2 linked regions of the Medicago truncatula genome follow. Each later gene encodes a partner of the first gene's protein in a complex. Links are inferred from orthologs where the notes say so. Each region holds a gene or a part of one and is shown on either strand. Other genes may lie near its edges.

Region 1 (3,757 bases):
CTCTAGTTTAAAAGCCGCAAGCCATATTTCCTCTGAATTGGGAATAGCAGCGTAAGCTTCTTGGAGAATTGCACGGGCGGCAGGCACATCTCCAGCAAGCCACTTCTCCTTGGCACCCATAAGCCAAAGAACTTCAGCCTGTGGTCTGTAGGTAACTGCTTTGCGAAGTAATGAATCAAGAGTTTCCCTGGTACCATGACTCCTTTCAAGTTGTGCTGCTTTGATCCATATGCTCTTCTTAGTTAAGAAGACACTTAAGGCGTGATCATATATAGCTCTAGCAGTCTCAATAGAACCTCTTTTCTTGCATTCCTCAGCATCGGCAACCCATGTTCTCTTCCTATCTTCTTTTTCAACTCCAATTCCAATAGTACATTTGATTATTGCCTGGCATGTTGCAACTGAACCAGCTCGTTCTGCCGCCTCAGCTTCCTTCATCCAAGCTTCTCTATCAATCACCATATTTCCATTTTGCAAAGCCCTTATACCCCTTCTAGTAATCGTTTCAACCTTGTTTACCTTCGTCCCATCGGCCAATGTAATAAACTCTTTAGCCCCCCCATTAGCTTCTTCCAACTTGGCGGCCGTTATCCATATTGCTGGCTCCTTGGGCAGCCCCTCTCTTGCCTTATTGAGAACCTTCTTGGCATTGTCATAAGTTTCCAACCTAGCAAGCGCAAGCCACAATTCTACATGCAATGGACAAAATTCCACAGCTCTGTGAAGTAAAAGTCTAGCATCTTCTTCATTTGCAAGCTCCACAACAGCCTTCCACAACCTAACAGAATCAGGAATGTGCTCCAACCCTTTCCTCAACACCCTACTTCTATTCATATCATCGTTTTCCAATTTCGAAGCCTGCATCCACAACTTAACTGAAGTGGGAATTGACTTAACACCCTGAGCTATCACAGCCTTGGCATCATCGGGATTTGCCAATCTACAAGCCTCCAACCACACATCTTCATTCTTGGGACATTCTTCACACCCTTTCTGTATCAACTGCCTAGCCGCCTGAAGCTTACCCGCCAACTCCTCCAACCTTGCAGCAGCAATCCAACCAGGAGGATGTTTCGGATTCGTCTGAGTAACACTCTTCAACAACAACCTAGCCTTCTTAAAATCAGAAATCTCAGCATCACTAGTAATCTTCATACTATTCAAAACAGTAAGATACCCCTTCGGATCAACATTAGTCATCCCAGAAACTGAATCGGACAACCTATCCAATTTCAACGACAAAACAGTCCCTCTCCCCTCACCAACAGCAGTCAAATCAGTAACCGGCGTCTGTGACCACGGAGTCTCAGTCCCATTCGCCGAAGCAGCCCTACTCTTAGGATCCAACGCAGTCACATGCTCTTGCTCCTGCCTCGCTTTCTCAAGAAGCGTATCAGGCACAGGAACAAAACTCTCAAACCTCTTCTTCTTATTCTTTGACGAATAACCACCACTCTCAAACTTCTCCAAACTCTGCCAATCATCAGTAGACAAAGTATACAACTTCCTTTTCAAATCAGCAAACTGCTCAGTAATCTTCGGATTCGAAGCTCTATACTTCTCAATCTCCTCCTTCAACCGCGCCTCTCTCCGATCCTTCCTCCTCGAATCCATCCTCTTATCAATCCCTTCCCAAACAGCATCAGCTTCTCTATCATCCTCATCATACTCAGCAGAAGCAAACAACCCCACATCATTCCCTTCAAACTCATCAAATTTCTGATTCTCATCATACCCCTTATCCTCCCCTTCATCATCTTCCTCAGCAACATCCTCCCTACCTTTCCCTCTCCCAATGGGAGCCGCACCAGCTGGTGCGGCACCTGGTGCTGATCTATCAGGAAGATCCGGCGCAGCACGCGCCGGACCAATATCAGACCGGGTAGTAAACCCGGTGGCACCACGACCAAGTCCGGCAACATAATTAGCAGGCGGTTTGGAATTAAGAAAATCGAAACGAGGCGGTTTGGGGACGGCGGGTGGTTGTGTTCCGCCGTAAAAGGGGACGTGTAGGGTTAGGGTTGAGTAATTTCCAACACCGAGATTTGAGATTAGGGTTGAATCGTTATCGGCGAGTAATTTGAGACTCTGTGAAAGGAATAATCGTTGGTGTGAAATTGGAATTCCGTGGAAATTTTCGATTTCAGTTTTGAGATTGTGGAGAGTGGTGGTGTTAGGGTTTATGTCGAGGGAGAGGATTTTTCCGGTGGGTGGAACGATGAATACCATGGTTTTTGGTTATAGAGAATTAACGTCGCAAGGTTTCGTTTTTGGTTGATGGAGATTAAGAAGAATATAAGAGATGCGTGAAAACCGACTTAAGAAAATTGGTTTCCTCTTTAAAAAAAAAAATCGTTTCCTTTTCCTATTTATTTTCTGTGAAAAAACATGGGATATAATTAAATAGGTCTCTGATGTGATGTTCTTGTGAACTTAGCTTTGGTAGAGATTAAAAGTTCGAGATTTAAAACTCGGTCACCACCAAAAAATTGGGTTTGGGCTTGGACTTTTTTTATTAGGATTTTGTTCTTCTCACTTTGAAAATTGCTCAATCACACCTAAAATTTACCTTAATGACCCTAGTGGCAGTTAAGTATCAACGACATTTAACAACCGCTCGCTAGCAACTGTCGCTGAGTTATGGTATGCTGAAAGTAAAACAATTCAGTTTTCGAGATACTTGATCAGGGAAAATGCTAGATATCAAGAATGATTTTATAAGAAAAATTCAAGAATGACATGGCACAATAATCACCTTTAGATTTCAGTCTCAAATCTTTCATAAAAAAAAGATACATAACACCCATCACCCCATGATTTCCGGCCAGACTGAGATTTTATTGGTTAACATTAATTTCAGAACTATTTCTTGATAAAATCTAAGGATGATTATTCTGCCATGTCATTCTTAAAATTTTCTTAAAAAAATCTTTCTTGATATATAGCATTGCTCCTTGATCAGATTCCTCCGAAACTTTTCTAAAAAATAAGAAAAACTAAGACTTATATGTATTTGAAAAGGAATCACCAGTATAATAGATCAGATCTATTTTTTTTATAATAGATCTTATATATGTTTATTATCTTGTCCATTGCATAATATATAAATAAATCTAAGAAACATTAGGTCAAACAACCCAAAATAACACTGCAAATTAATTTTTCTCAAAACTAACAAAGTTGTTGTTCAAATAAAATTTTGTTAGAAATTAGTTAATACAATATTTGATGTTGTGAATTGATTCACAACTTGTTTGAATTAATTAACAAAGAAATGCATTTAGAAACATATGAGATTTTGGTGAGTGCATGCTTTATTAGTTAAATAAAAGATGAAAGCAAAATTAATGTATCATTAATTTAAATTGAAAAATCAATTTTGAATCTTTGATTGTAAGGTAATCATCACGCATTGTTGATTTTCTCACATTCCTACTGGTTAAATATGATGCATTCCAATCATAAACATCAGCACCAACTATCTCTAAAAATAAACACCACCAACTATATAAGCATGAATCACAAATATATTTTGTGAAATATGCTTATCTCCCTTATTTCTCATGTATTACATGAGACTTTTGTGTCATGCATCTCACGTAATAATGAATAATATATGAGAAGTGATATTTTGTACGACTAATCAAATAACGAAAATTATGATACCATAGTAAACAATTGCATTTTTTTTTGTTTTAATATTAAAAATAATGTATTTGTGTTTTGGTGGAAATCATGGTAGCCTAGTGTTGTGTTG
Region 2 (3,757 bases), on another chromosome or scaffold:
TTTAAACTTAAAAAAAATCATATTTTTTTTTTCTCATATTTTTTGTTTTGTTCGGAATATGAATCATCTATCAACTAACATGTATTGTCGATTGTCTGTAGTTGACTAAATGAACGATACATGTCGTACAAAACCATCATGTGACATTAGGGGATTTGAATCCAAAATTGTAGGTTAGTTGAGTTTTGGAGATCACCATAGTCAGGACATGGCTTCAAGATTCAGCGAACAACAAACATTAATAAAGTTACGTATAGATCTTCCATTAAAAAAGTTTTCACATTAACAACTTAAACTGAGCTAACGATTTTCATTGTCAAATTTATGAATTATTTTGAGCTCTTATATTTAGAGAATTATATTCTTCAACGCTCTTTCAAAACTTCATTTTCTTTATATTTCTTTATTCCTATCACAACATTATTCGATTACATTTCTATCTTTATTTCTTTCACTCTCAATGTATATATAGGATGCATGAGTGTATATGGATCATTTTCCATAGATATACGGCATTTGAACAACTGTACATAATTTTCAATTTTATTTTTGTACAAATATGCAAATATTATCTTGATTTTAATTTATCGTATACTTCTTCGGGTGTTTCTCTTTAGATCCCTTCAATATTTCTAAGGTCTCCTAAATACATATTCGATAGTTATTTATCGGATGTACAATTTTTTGAAAAACGTATATCCGGTAGATAACTATCAGATGTATATTTAGGGGACTTTAAAGATATTAAGGGGGGCATAAAGAGAAATGTTCTACTTCTCCTTTAACCTGGGTTACACCTTATGCTGGGCTTGGGCAGCTAGCCCCAATTTGAAGCCCATTTAGATTGAAAATAGGCCCACAAGAATTACCAGTAGTCTTCTTTCTTTCTGATCGCAACGAAGAAAAAACAATGATCTGACAAAAAAAGTAAAAATCTCCATTAATTCCCCCCAAAAAGAACACGAAGAGAGAAGAAGTAACAGAGCTTGTTTCAATTCTGGTGAATTAGGGTTTTCAAAATTGAACAGAGTTTGGTGAATTACCTCTCAAGCTTAGCTTCCTCCGCTCTTCATTCAAACCCTAATTTGCTACCATGACTGAGGTTTGATCAACAAAATCTTACTCAAAATTTCAATTTATTATTCTAAAAATGCATCATTTTCGTATTCCCTTAACAATATTATGTCACTTCATATCAAAAACACAAAAAAAAAAATGTTTTTTTGACTTGGGTCTTGTAGTTTAGATGCACTTTGTTTGGCTGTGACTTGTACCTAATAATTTGTTTTCACTTTGTGTTAATTATGAACTGTTTTTCTCGTTTTTGCAGTACTGGGTAAGTCAGGGAAACAAATGGTGCGATGTGTGCAAAATTTACATATCAAACAACCCTTCCAGCATCAGAAATCATGAGCTTGGCACAAGGCACAAGGAAAATGTTACAAAGCGGCTCGCGACTATGCGAAAAGAGAATGCTGCTAAAGATAAAGAACACAAAGAAACGGCTAATGCTCTTGTGCAAATCGAGGCGGTAAGACTTTTATTCTTATTAAAAATATGATTGTTTCTGTTGCGATGCATATGTTTATTTTCATTTCATTGGAAAGGTTACTAGAAAATTTGAATGTGTTGTTAATGAATATTATTTGAATAATAGCCTTTTTAAATTCGGAATTTACTTATGAAAAAAAAGTTCACATTGATAGAAAACTTTGGGTTATATCAGTAAGCAGGCCAAGCCTTGTCTTGTATCTTCAATTCTTAGCAATATAACATTACTGGAGTAATATTTTCAATAGATTTATAATATTCAATATATATAACATTACTGAAACTCCACTTTAGAGAAGCTGTGTTTTTCAATCAAGTGCTCAGGGATCTATCGTATAAACTGTATTTGTTCCATACATTAGTTTGCATGTACTGTACATAATTTTCCTGAGAAGAACTTATTTTTATTTCGTGGTTTTTATATTTTATTCTTTAGCATTACCATAAGTAAGTGAACGGGGCTGAGTTGTTCTCATTTGATCTGTAGTCTAGACTTGAAATAAGAAGGTTTTCTGGGTTCATATTAGAGTTAATAATGCAGAAAGGAGAAGAATATGCCAAATTATTTTGAATCCATATTAATGATTTTTTTTTTCCTTAAAAAAAAAAAATCATTTTCAACACAACATCAACTGCATGATTCATTTCCAACTGAAAGTCGGTCATGCAGAAGGGTTTTTCATTCTCATTGTTTTACATTGACGTCAATTTAGTAAATTTTAAACTACATTATATTAAGTATCGTTTAATCTTTTCAAACTAACAAATTTCTTCTCTAATTTAACCCTCAAATAATTAGTTTATGCATCAATCATATTTTATCTGGAACAAAAGGTTAAGCTATTGAGTGAATGCACATAATTTATCTAGAACAACACTCATGCAAAAGCCCTTTGGGCTTGAAGTTGACAAGTGTCAAGTAACGTACACATGTACTTTGTGCTGCAATTTAACATTTATTTACAACTTACAAGAATGAGAGCGATAAACTCGTACTCAGTTCTACCCCAAAAAGATTATACTATTGGATTAAAACATTAATGGTTTTATATGTAATATATCTTACAATTCTAAAATCAAACAATTTCACAATATATTACTTATTTAGCACGTCCTTTTCCATTTTAATGTCTAAATTAAGACATGTGAATCTTCAATGAAATATTAAACTATCACTTTTATCCTTCAAATTATGTATTTTGGAACCCAACAATCTCTAACCTTGTCATCCACGAGCTTTCTTCAATGTTTTCAATTCATATTCTCCTTCATTGTTCAAAAACAAATATCCCAAATCACGATCAAGATATTACTTAAATCAAATATTACTTAGCAATATCTCAAATCAAATATCCCAAATCACGATCAAGATATTACTTAGCAATATCCCAAATCAAATATTCATACTTGCACCATTGTTCTTTGGAAGCCAATGCTTGGCTTCCATGTCAAGAAAAACTCAAATTGTTCGACTTATGATTATAAAAAAAAATAACTTTCATCATCAGATTGACTTTTTACACTAAAGGCCAACAGACAGTGTATCGTCGTGTGTTTTCTCGATTCATAGCTCTTGTAACATTTGTTGGGAGAGTGTCACATCCCTGTCTACCCATGCTTGTATAAATACCACCAGTAAGTAATCACTAAAACTACACAATTAAACATGGTTCTTTTGTCCTACATGCTTACATCCAAAGACTACTATCAACACCATATTACCATATAATGTTTGTGGACACACCAAATCACATCCATCCCATCTGATTTACTCTTGTTTTTACTCTTCTTTTCATTGGTACTCATTTTTGGCATCTCCAGCCTCGTTGAGTTTCCTTCCGAATCATGTCTTGCCTAGCCCATATTATATTTTCCTTTCTGAAAGACCGACTCATCTGTAAAAATCTTAAATCTACGCAAGTTTTTGATTGAGAGGAAGTGTTAGATTGATATCATAATATTTATTGTATCTTAAATATTACAGTATCTTAGTCAATCTCTTATTAGAATATGCTGAGACAGAGAGAGAATTGAATTACCAGCATGAATGAAAACTAATCTGCATGATTCTTGTTAGGAAAATGTCTACGTTGTGCTTAGATAGCATGTCATGAACCGACTATCCCATAAGTTTATTCTATTTTCGTGAAAGATTTGATACATGTCATGAACCAACTATGCCTAAAGCATGGGCTATTAAATGAAG

The links.
Region 2: protein STABILIZED1 (region 1) and zinc finger protein ZOP1 share a complex: the UniProt entries of both Arabidopsis thaliana proteins name them as parts of the pre-mRNA splicing complex. The link is inferred for Medicago truncatula from reciprocal best matches to the Arabidopsis thaliana genes EMB2770 and AT1G49590.

The regions. Positions count from the first base shown.
Region 1 is NC_053048.1:31,976,052-31,979,808, forward strand, and holds the start of protein STABILIZED1, read right to left. Parts: upstream 2,356-3,757; 5' UTR 2,230-2,355; coding exon 1-2,229. UniProt on the Arabidopsis thaliana protein: Pre-mRNA splicing factor required for splicing and for the turnover of unstable transcripts. May be a U5 snRNP-associated protein involved in the formation of U4/U6-U5 tri-snRNP. Involved in responses to abiotic stresses.
Region 2 is NC_053045.1:41,915,520-41,919,276, reverse strand, and holds the start of zinc finger protein ZOP1, read left to right. Parts: upstream 1-882; 5' UTR 883-1,093; coding exon 1,094-1,102; intron 1,103-1,330; coding exon 1,331-1,531; intron 1,532-3,757. UniProt on the Arabidopsis thaliana protein: Nucleic acid-binding protein that promotes Pol IV-dependent small interfering RNA (siRNA) accumulation, DNA methylation and transcriptional silencing.